2 linked regions of the Cricetulus griseus genome follow. The protein of the gene in region 2 purifies or fractionates together with the protein of the main gene of each other region. This does not show direct contact. Links are inferred from orthologs where the notes say so. Each region holds a gene or a part of one and is shown on either strand. Other genes may lie near its edges.

Evidence for each region.
Region 1: the proteins of Tsr1 (region 2) and Rps7 purify together in Homo sapiens (co-immunoprecipitation; 4 studies listed by BioGRID and IntAct, with this or other methods). This does not show direct contact. The link is inferred for Cricetulus griseus from reciprocal best matches to the Homo sapiens genes TSR1 and RPS7.

Annotation. Positions count from the first base shown.
Region 1 is NC_048600.1:30,789,501-30,795,348, reverse strand, and holds the start of Rps7 (40S ribosomal protein S7), read left to right. Parts: upstream 1-2,396; 5' UTR 2,397-2,470; intron 2,471-2,665; 5' UTR 2,666-2,673; coding exon 2,674-2,748; intron 2,749-2,841; coding exon 2,842-2,913; intron 2,914-4,252; coding exon 4,253-4,396; intron 4,397-4,749; coding exon 4,750-4,814; intron 4,815-5,848.
Region 2 is NC_048600.1:88,354,389-88,360,136, forward strand, and holds part of Tsr1 (pre-rRNA-processing protein TSR1 homolog), read left to right. Parts: intron 1-721; coding exon 722-912; intron 913-925; exon of another isoform or gene 926-1,787; coding exon 1,788-1,950; exon of another isoform or gene 1,951-2,157; coding exon 2,158-2,268; exon of another isoform or gene 2,269-2,890; coding exon 2,891-3,023; exon of another isoform or gene 3,024-4,615; coding exon 4,616-4,732; exon of another isoform or gene 4,733-5,085; coding exon 5,086-5,226; exon of another isoform or gene 5,227-5,332; coding exon 5,333-5,407; exon of another isoform or gene 5,408-5,503; coding exon 5,504-5,682; 3' UTR 5,683-5,748. UniProt on the Homo sapiens protein: Required during maturation of the 40S ribosomal subunit in the nucleolus.

The sequences.
Region 1 (5,848 bases), about 58 Mb from region 2:
ATGTGTGTGTGCAAGCTTTTATTTAGTTACAGTTTGGTGTTGTTTTTTTTGTGGTAGTTTGTTTTCTTGGTTTGGGGGGCTTTGTGGTTGTATTGGGTTTTTGTTTGTTTTTTTGAGAAAGAAAAGTTGGGTGGGAGGGGGAGAGGATCTAGAAGGGCTTGAGTGAAGGGAAGAATATGATCAAAGTAATTTTAAAGTTAAGAATTATTTTATATATACTCTAAAAGGTATATTATATATAACTTTCTTCATTGAACAAGCTTCAATTAACTCTTAATTTTTCAAAGAGCTCTGGGCATCTTGATCTCACTATGTACAACAGACTGGCATCAAAGTCACAGGGATCCCCCTGATTCTACATCCTGAATGCTGGGACTAAAGGTGAGCAGTATCACCATCCCCGGCCTGTAGCTTTAAAACTCAGAAAGAGGCTGACTATTGTGACTTTTACACCATTTTCTATAGTGCCTGGCCCATGGTAGGTAACAATTTTCCCCACTAACCTTGACAGGTAGTAAAACTCAAAAGAAAGGACAATCTGGTGTAAGAGGTGACCTCTAACTGTTACCAAGTGACTAGGTCCTAACTGCTCTTTAATTTGTAGGGTACTTATGTAAGTCATTACAACTTACTATCATATACTTATATAATATCCTCACCAAACTGCATTCTCCATGAAGGCAAGGATTCTGTTGGTTTTAATAACCAGTGTATAGTCTAAATCAGGCATATTCAATTGTAGAGCAGGGACTCACTGGGCACATGAATTTAAGGTGATAGCTGAGGTGGGCACTTCTTCAATAAATGGAATTTATCCTCAGATCTATCAGACATTTGCTCCTGACCTATCTTTTCTTTCTTTTTTTTTTTTTTTACTATTCATGCTGTGACTAAAGGAAGTTGTGTTATAGCAAGTCCTCTCCCAACATTGTCTTCATTCTGTCTTTTGTTTTTCTCTGTGTAGGCTGTTTTGGAACTCGCTATGTAGATTGGGCTGGCCTGGAACTCAGATCTGCCTGACTCTGCCTCCTAAGTGCTGGGGTTAAAGGTTCATTCGGTTTGAGTGTTTCTCCCCACAAGTGCGCTCTCACTGACCTGGCTTCCTTGCTCTCCCCACCTTTTAGGGCATAAGTTTTCCGTGTAGCCTTGGCAGGCAGAGGCCTGGCCTTCTAGATTTAACTCAATCTCGGCCTCTCCTATGGGCTCTTTCAGTAAATGTTTTGTTGTGTTGTTTCTTGAGACAAGGTTTCTCTGTCTAGTCCTGGAACTCACACTGTAGATCAGGCTGGCCTCAAACTCAAGAGATCTGAGTGTCTCTGCCTCCCAGATGCTGAGACTAAAGGCTTTGCCACCACTACCCAGCTTGTAAAAGGGTTTTTGTTGCTGTTGTTTTTTGAGACTAGATCTCTACAGAGCCTTGAGTAGACCATCCTGGCCTTCAACTCACGTCCTGATGCGCCACAACATCCGGCATTCTCCATAAACGTTAAAATTCAACAGGACAGCCTGTCTTTTTGTTTGTTTGGTTGGTTGGTTTTCGACACAGGGTTTCTCTGTGGCTTTGGAGGCTGTACTGGAACTCGCTCTCGCAGCCCAGGCTGATCTCAAACGCACAGAGATCCGCCAGCCTCTGCCTCCCGAGTGCAGGGATTAAAGGCGTCCGCCACCACTGCCAGGCAGCTTCATATTTTTGAGGACTGTTTCCTGAACATGTTCAGAATCTCCTGATGCACCAAGCATAGACGTTAGAAATAGGAATTCATAGATTGGTGGCGGCGGCACTCTAATCTCGAAAATCCAAAAAGTAAAATAAAATAAATGGGAATTTATGACAGATATTCAAACACTACCTCATTGCTTTCATTCCCTATATGACGAACTGGAATTACCGTCTGATCCCTTTTCTTTTTTGTTTTTTTTTTCTTGACAGGGTTTCTCAACGTAGCCTTGGCTTTCTGCAATTCTCTTTGTAGAGCAGGCTGGCCTCAGTCTCAGAGATCCTCCTGCCTCTGCCTCCCAAATGCTAGGATTAAAGGTGTGCACCACACCGCCAGGCTAATCTGACTCCTTTTCATAAGGTCAGCGTGAAAAGAAGGGTAAGCTCGGGACTAATTAAACATTTTAAACGTCCCATCTTCGTGGCGAACGGAGCCGAGTTCTTCCAGACCGGTCCTGTCTTCGGGGACTGTCTATCCGCCACCACCCTGTCCAGGAACACACGAAAAGACTACAACTACGGAAGCTGAGAACTTCCAGAAACGGAACCAAAGGCCTACTCCTACAGGAGTGACACCGCAACACTCGTCCTCCGGAAACACTTCCGGGAACATGCGAGGCGATCTACCACTTTTCAAGAGGAGAGCTTGCTCCCGCCCATCCACTTCCGCTGCCACGCCTCTTTTCTTCCGCCACCCGGATATGAGCAGTTCTCGCGAGATCCGGGCCTCTTTCTAAGCCGGCACTCCTTAAGGTATGTTGGCGCCTGGCGATGGCGCCGCGGGTTTTTTGCAGAGTTTCGGGGGAAGGACTCTCATAGGATCTTCGGGGCGTCAGGCCCTGTTCCCCGGGTTGGGGATACCATGGATTACCCGGTCTGCGCCCGCCGATGGCCCCCGGCCGGGCGTCCCGCGCGACCCAGTTGACTGACGGCACCTTCTCCCCCTAGGGCGAGCCATGTTCAGCTCGAGCGCCAAGATCGTGAAGCCCAATGGCGAGAAGCCAGACGAGTTCGAGTCTGGCATCTCTCAGGTGAGTGTGTCCTCGGGTGTCCGGGTCCCCATGATGCCGTGACCTCGGGTCCTTCTCACCCCGGCGTGGCACCCACGTTCTCCGTGTCCGCAGGCGCTGCTCGAGCTGGAGATGAACTCCGATCTCAAGGCGCAGCTGCGGGAGCTGAACATCACGGCAGCCAAGGTGAGTGGAGACCACCCCGGGGCTCGCACAGTGCTCGGGTCTGTGACAGCCTCGGCCTTCGTGTCTGGGCTGGGAAAAGGGAGAAGCGTAGACGTAGGAACTCCCCAGTGCGGTGAGTCCTCACTGTACGTTCTTGCACCTCGCCACATCCGATGATAACATTTCTTTTTAAATTAGCTTTGTTTTATGTGCATTGGTGTGAAGGTGTCAGATCCTCTAGTACTGGAGCGAAAGACAGCAGTGAGCTCTCAGCGGGTGCTGAGAATTGAACCCGGCTCTTCTGGGGGAGCAGCCGGTGCTCTCAATCGCTGGTGCTCTCAATCGCTGAGCCATCTCTCCGCCCCCCCCCCCCAGATAGATGCTGGAATTTCTGGTTACTGACTTGAAGCATGTGCCTCCCAAAGGAAGTGTCTAGACCCAATATGACTCCTTACTGGACCGTCAGGTTTAGTGGGGGCTTTATAAGGTTTTGGTGTGACAGGGATTTGTTTAGGATTTATTTTGTGACTGTTAGTGGTCTGCTTGTGTTGCGTTTGCACACCACGTGTGTCCCTGAAACTGGATAGTTGTTAGTTCTGGGAGCTGAACCTGGGAACTTTGCTAGCACAAGTGCTGCGCCTCACCCTGAGTCAACCCTAGCCCGGGATTAGTGTGCTGTGAGGTTTTTATTGCCAAATTCATACTGTTTGGACTGTATAGTGTATGGAACAGGCTTGACATCCAGGCCATGGGGATTTAAGGTTTAGTCATGCTGGGGGAACTTGAGGTTGCTTGTGGCCAGCGTCCTGGGTGGCATGGCCCTCACTGGTGAGACAGAATCTCTGGTAACCTAGGCAGGCCCTTATGAACTTGGTCCTTCTTTCTGCCTCTACCTCTCTGGTGCTGGGGTAATGGGCATGTATCTGCTGGTCGCTCGGTGTCTCTTGTAGAGTCGCCCACATTCATTCTGAGATTACATTTCAGTGACCTCCAGTGGCTGATATCCTGGAGATTCAACCTCTGGATCCCTAACTCCATTCTCAGGACCTCAAAGTGAGGGTTAGGTTTTAACTCATGAACTTCAGGTACCCCGTAGTCTATATCCAAACCATAGGAGAATGGTGTTTGGAAGGGGAGCTGTTTGTTGTTTGTGCGTAGTGCATGACATTAATCCCATCACTTGTGAGGCAGAGGCAGGTATATCTGGGATAAAGGCCAGACAGGTCTACATAGAATGTTTCAGAAGGGGGCAGCTCTTGATTTAGATGTGTGGTATTTGATGTATTCACATTAACGGTGTTACCTCAGTGGGGGGAATTGGAGGTGAAGGACTTAATGACACGGACTTTGTTCCTCTTAGGAAATTGAAGTTGGTGGTGGCCGGAAAGCCATTATAATTTTTGTACCAGTTCCTCAGTTGAAATCGTTCCAGAAAATCCAAGTACGACTGGTTCGTGAATTGGAGAAAAAGTTCAGTGGGAAGCACGTAGTCTTCATTGCTCAGGTATCTGTTCAGTTTCCTGTATTCTGAATTACTTGGGTCTAGGTGTCGGGAGTGAGAATGGTGACAACCCTGTTAGTGTAAAGCTTGGTGTTGGGGGTAGAACACTGGAGTGTGTTTGCTCTGGGGAGTCAGCAGTCTGAAGGGTCTGATAAGTGACAGTGCTGTGTGTTTAGGATTGGATTTGGTGCAGTGTGGGGGATGCTCTGTGTGGGGCTGATTGGAAAGCAATATCATTGAAGCATTTCAGTGGGCTGGTTTGAATGTGAAAACATTTTTGCATTTGAAGCAGTTGGTCGTTTCTTAGCAGCTTTGCCTCAGCTCATTTGCTGTTTTTGTGTTTGTTTTCATCAAAGAGGAGGATTCTGCCCAAGCCAACTCGGAAAAGCCGCACGAAAAACAAGCAAAAGCGCCCCAGAAGGTGAGTGTTTTAGCTGCTTCTGCCAGGTGTTCACTACTCACTGGCTGTTGATTTGTGTAAGGCACTGAGCACAGCACGTCATTGGTGTAGAGTCAAGACTGAGCCTGTTTCTCTTAACTCAGGATGTGTTAAGTGTTGGATGTAGCTGAGGGGCTGTGCTGTTGTCATGTGCTGCTAACAATGCTAACAGCCACTTCATGAATTGGTCTTTAGACTGAGGCCTTGTTGGTGTTGCTGTAATTATGTCAGATTTGTATTGAAGATTCCTGCACATTAAGGGCGAAAAGTGTCGTTTTCCCTCATAACTGCTATAGGCAATCTTGTGAGACATACAATTTGTATGGTGTGTTCTGTCAGTGCTTTTGAGACAGGATCTCGAAGTCCAAGTTCACTTTCAACTTGCTGTTAGCCAAGACTGCTCTTTAACTCCTGCCCTTACTGCGCCAGTGCTAGGATTACAGGTGCACACCATCATGTCCTGTGGGTGTTGTTTGTATTGCAGTATGGTGGTTAATAATGCTAAGAATTTTTCGCAATTCAATCTTGCCTTGAAGCACTGGAAAATAGGTGGGAATTTTGTGTGTGGGTAAATGCTGTCTGTAGGAAGGAAGACAGGTAATGGTCACAGCTGAGACTATAGTTTTTCCAGGGGGCAGTTGGAGTGGTGGGATTTTTTGTCATATTACTTAGTGGGGTTTTCGATTATGGTCCTTGGAGCCTGGTCAAGTAAGTAGCCCTTGCATGGCAGAGCTAAGATTACCTGCCATGCTGTAGTGTTCCCTTAGCAACTTCTGCCCTTGACGCCTAGGTCCTTCCTTGGTGTAGGGTGTGGTAGTCCTTCCTATACTTCTGTCTCCAGACCCTGCTAAAATGACAGTGTGCTTTAAAGAGGAGCAGTGGGCAGGCATCTGATAACTGGATGATACTGAGTGTGAACATACAGAGAGGGTGAGGCGTGTGTGCGGGTTGGACCGACAGCCATAACACCAGTCCCTCCAGAGTTTGGAATTACAGATGGTTCCTGACTTGGGTGG
Region 2 (5,748 bases):
CCCACCACACTCCAAAAACATGGCTGTGTGAAGTCATCTGCTTAATTATGGAAAGGATATGTTTGTTTGTTTTGTTTTTTGAGACAGGGTTTCTCTGTGGCTTTGGAAGCTATCCTGGCATTTGATCTGTAGACCAGACTGGCCTCGAACTCACAGAGATCCACCTACCTCTGCCTCCTAAGTGCTAGGATAAAAGTCCTGTATCATTACTACACCCAGTGCTCTAGAGGGTGTGTGTGTGTGTGGGGGGGGGGGTTAGGAACAAACTTGCTGGAGTCGTTCTCCTTTTCCACTATTTGGGTCCCTGTATAGAAATCAACTGCCTTTCCTCACTGAGCCACCTTGTTGGTGCTATGATTTTCTTTTTTGGGTTGTCAGGGGTGGGGGAATATAGTCTTATGCATCTCAGGCTTGTCTAGAACTCTAGCTGAAGCGGTGTGGATACTGTTTGCAGGCGTGTGGAATCTGCCCAACTTTAGGTAGCACTGGGGATCTAACCGAGAGCTTTATGTGTGTCAGGAAGGCACTTCTACCAGTGGAGCTACGTCCTCTTCCCTTTTCGGGCTTGTTACTTTTTTTTCTTTTATTTTTGGAGACAGGGTTTCTCTGTGAAACAGTCTTGCCAATAAACTCATAGTGAATCTCCTGCCTCAGCTTCCTAAATCCCAAGACTAAAGTGTGTTTCATGATGCATATTTGCAATTCCCCATTCATTTTACAGGATGAGAGTAGTGAGGAAGAGGAGGAGTGTGAAACTATGACTCTAGGGGAGTCTGTGCATGATGATCTCTACGATGAGCAAGTAGATGAAGAGGCTGAGGAGAGAATGTTGGAGAAATACAAACAAGAAAGATTGGAAGAGATGTTTCCAGATGAAATGGATACCCCCCGTGATGTGGCTGCTAGAACTCGGTTAGTCAGCAAGTGATTTCAGACAAGTTTTATTTGAAAAATTTTCATGGTTTAGAATTATTCGAGTAGGATGCAAATGGGAAAAACACATTGTCCTTTTTTCTTGAAGGGCAAGCATGCTACAGGAGAAGCAGCAACATATAGTCAAGGTATAGATTTGTTCAGAGTGAAACAGACATACCTAGTTTAATTAGCAAATATTCCTTGCAGGAGTAAGTGCTCAGAAATATGGATTTGGGAGGTGAAAGTACATATTTTGAAATGAAGCTTATAAAAGTAAAAGTAATAAAACGTAGTTGATTTTTCTGGATGTAAGCCTGACTAAAAGCCAGTATCAGTGTTGGGTACGAGAGTGGTAAGGCAGGTTGAAGAGCTGTATTCCATAACAGGCACTATAAATTCTTTGTCCCCTGTGAAAAGTCTGGGTTGATTTTGAAATAGTTATTAGAAGCTGTTGTAGGACATGGTTTTTGCTAAAGCTATTAGTTTGTAGTTTGTTTGAAAGATAGGGTCTCATGTGGATCAGGCTATTATGGATCTTCTGCCTCCACTTCCCAAGTGTTGGGTTATAGGTGTATATTTCCATGCCCATGTGTAGCTCATTAGGGTATTTTGAATGCCTAGTGAGTAATTTTGTTTCTTGAGCCAGTTTTGCTTTGTAGCTCAGGCAGACATGAAACACATGGTGTACCCCAACCTTCCCAGTAGATTAGAGCCACACTTAAAGCCTTGTTAGGTTTGTTGTGTACTAGAGGTAAGCATTTTACCACTGACTTACATTCTTAGATAAGAGTAATTTTAAAAAGTGAGAGCCTTGACTATTTTAGAAGTGAGGTGAGTCTTATATAGCACCATCTAACCACTTACTTTCTTAGATTTCAGAAATATAGAGGCCTCAAGAGCTTCAGGACATCTCCTTGGGACCCCAAGGAAAACCTTCCTCGAGATTATGCTCGGATCTTCCAGTTTCAGAATTTTATTAATACTAGAAAAAGAATCTTTAAAGAGATTGAGGAAAAAGAAGCTGAAGGAGCCGAGGTACCTGCCATCTTGTCTACCTTATAATTTGTTTTTGACACAATGCTACTTGTTTGGGAACAAAGGGATTTGAGATAATTAACTGAGAAGGTTGAATCTGGGTGGTTGGCACACCCATGAATGATGAGGCCTGGCATGTATTTCGAGAAAGTTTCGTCACTATTGGGACATTAAAGGTAACCCTGGTGATTGTCTATGCTTTGGCAGGTTGGCTGGTATGTCACACTTCATGTCGCAGACGTCCCTGTCTCGGTGGTTGAGTATTTCAGGCAAGGAGCACCCTTGATTGCATTTTCTTTACTACCTTATGAACAGAAGGTAAATCAGTGTTTTGTGAGGAATGAAGAGTTGTACATATTTTTCCAACATTTTGTTCTCTTGTGGAAGGCTACGTTTTTGATTCTGGGAGTCAGAATGGAGAAGTCAATGATGGTTATACCCAAGATGTCTGAACCTGTCTGAAGCATCTCAGTGATGCAGTCTGTGGTTCTGAGACTTCCCTACCTACTTTTTTTTTTTTTTTTTTTTTTTTTTGTCCAGATCAGAACACTAGTAGTCTTAAAAGTAAATGTTTGTGCCAGTGTGGAGACCTGTTCTCTAGGTGACCTGTAGTCATGCCCACTGGGAGTGGGACAGCTGGTATAAAGGTGGTGGAGGCTGAGAGGAGTGTATGTGGTTAATCAGGTGATGTGAAGGTCATTCACCATGGCTTAGCTTCTATAATGTTACATGTGGATCGATCAGTAAGCTAGCTTGGCTAAGCTAGCTTAGACATTGCATGGAAGCACTGACAAGGCCTGTATGAACCTGCAAAGTCAGTTGGTTGTTGGGTAAAAAGGACTATTTATTATGACATCATGTCATTAACTAGCATGGTTAGCCTTTCAGGGTAGGCTGTTGTATGCCTAGACTATGAAGCTTTTTCTTATTTGGTCCTCAGATGTCAGTATTGAACATGGTAGTGAGTCGGAACCCTGGCAACACAGAACCTGTAAAAGCCAAAGAAGAATTGATCTTCCACTGTGGATTCAGGCGCTTCCGATCCTCGCCCTTATTCTCTCAGCACACAGCAGGTTAGCATGGAAGCTGCTGGGGTCTTGTCACTTGTCTCTGGGGTGAAGATGTTTTCAGTACTCTGACTTAGGAGCCAATGATGTTTTTATTCAATGTCTGAACCTGTCTGAAGCATCCCAGTGATGCGAACTGTGTTATGCTGAGGCTTCTTTGCTGTGAGTATTGTTCTGGAGTAGGTTTTAAACCAGGGTTGGTAACTTTAGGAGTAGGAATATGTGTTGCCTGCTATTTTGGGACCATTGAATAGTACCATAACTCACTTGCCTTCCAGTGACAGGAGACAGAGATGGTAACAGCATTACTGGTGTTGTGGGTAAATTTTCATCTGTCGCATTATTTTTTAAAACAAAGTTTTGGTAAAACATGCCATGTCTTGGTTTTGGGATTTATTTATTTATTTTGAGATAGGGTTAAGAGGGCCTTGAACTTGGGTCCTCCTACCTTTACTTTCCAGTATTTTTTTTTTTTTTTTTTTTTTTGCTTGTTATTAAGTATCTAACTGCATTGTGTATGCTTGTCTTGTTTTATTTATTGAGATTTTCAACACAAGGTCTTAATATGTAGCCCAAGCTGGCCTTCCTTGACCTTCAGGGTGGTGGGAATATGGGGAGGGTTACATTACCATGCTCAACTGGCATGGTATCATAAAGGCACACTGACAAACCTGAGTAGTTGGAATAGAAAGTGATTTGGAGCTGGCTAGCTGCTCAACCTTGCTGAACCTGAGGACCTACATTCAGTGAGTGCTGACTGGCCCTGCGTGATAGAAGGGAAGAACTATGACTTGTATTCCAGTGCTGTAGCACATATGCCTCCACACCACCAAAATAAATAAAATGTATTAAAAAGCCTTAATTATTTTAAGAAAGTAATAACTGCATTGCAGATGAACAGAGCTTTTCTGCTATCTTACTGTCCTGCACACAGCACAAAAGAGCTCAAGGCTGAGTGAAAGTATTGGTTGTATTGAGATCAGATCATCTGGGAGGACTCTTTCATTTTTACCAGTAGACTAAGCATTAATTCTGTCTCCAGTTAAAAAATCACTGGTGGGACTCAATTTTATCTTTTAATTGTGTTGATGCAGGGCGTGGAAGAAGTCTAAGAGTTAGTATGTAGGGAAATACAAGATGAAGCTGGATAGGATATCCTAGCCCTTGTGAGATGGAGGAAGGTACATAGCAAGTTAAAGGCAAGCCTGCAATACATGAGACCTGTCTCAAAACAAAACAGACTGGAGCTCACAGAGGACCTGGGTTCAATTCCCAGTACCTACACTGGTCAGCTTAGAGGCACCTGCACACGAGCACCCCCCACACCCACATGGATATACCCAGATACCTACACATAAATAAAAACATGGATCTTAAACACTATTGCTTTTGGTTAAGAGTCACAGTTAAGCTGAGAATATGATGTAGAGCAATAAGTGAGTACACAGTCCTGTGCTTGACCTCCATTACCATAATTTTAAAGGGTGGGGCTGTGTGGCAGCAGCATAGCTTTTGACAGCTCTTGGATTGCTTATGGTTTCTCAAAAGTCTTTTCACTTTTTTTTTTTTCTATTTATTTTGGACCCTTACTATGGAAGCTGATAAACACAAATTTCAGAGATTCCTAACTGCTGATGCGGCTTTGGTGGTGACTGTGTTTGCACCAATCACTTTTCCTCCTGCATCTGTGCTACTTTTCAAGCAGAGAAGCAATGGTATGTTGAATTCTAAATGGTACATAATTGAACCTACTAGGACCAGCACTTTTCTGTACTTAGACCTGGGGTCTAAGTGTATTAAGGTATACTGGTGGGTTTTCAAAAATACCAATTTCAATCTCCTTGAGGGTGTAAGCAAGCCCAGGGTGATGCAGACTTCAGTAGAGGCTGCTTGGACTACTGTATTTAAGGCAGGCTAGGGGACTGCTCAATGGAAATATCTGTAGTGGTCTTTGTGTAAGAAAGGTAACAGTGCATTTCTCTAAGAAAACCTTGAATGAGTCTTTAAATAGAACAGAGTCGTAGCTGAGGGGTTGGTCCTGTACTTCACAGCTGCTCTCCTTTCCTAGGGATGCACAGCCTCATTGCTACAGGCCATCTGTTGTCAGTGGATCCAGACAGGATGGTCATCAAGAGAGTTGTTCTCAGTGGTCATCCTTTCAAAATTTTCACTAAGATGGCAGTAGTGCGTTACATGTTTTTCAACAGAGGTAGGCATGAATGAAGGAAAGTGGGATCTGTTTCCCTGTGGTGGGAAGATGGGCTAGGCACCGTAGGTAAATGTTTGATTTTTGTGTCTGTGTATTCCATTCTAAGAGGATGTGATGTGGTTTAAGCCTGTGGAACTGAGAACCAAGTGGGGACGCAGAGGACACATCAAGGAGCCTGTAGGTAAGAGCCTGGGATTCCCCAGTGTTACAAAGGGACTGTTGGACTGTGAAGTTCACTACATGTCTTACTGTGACCGATTTGCTGTTTTCCTCCTAGGTACTCATGGCCACATGAAGTGCAGTTTTGATGGGAAGCTAAAATCTCAGGATACAGTATTAATGAATCTCTATAAGCGAGTTTTCCCCAAATGGACTTATGATCCATATGTACCAGAACCAGTACCGTGGGTGAAAAGTGAGATCTCCTCAACAGTGTCTGAAGTGGACATGGAATAACGGATTCAGTGGGGTCCTGTCTCTACTGCAGCCGTGGGTGGGAGTCTGGTTGTGATTATGCAGGTT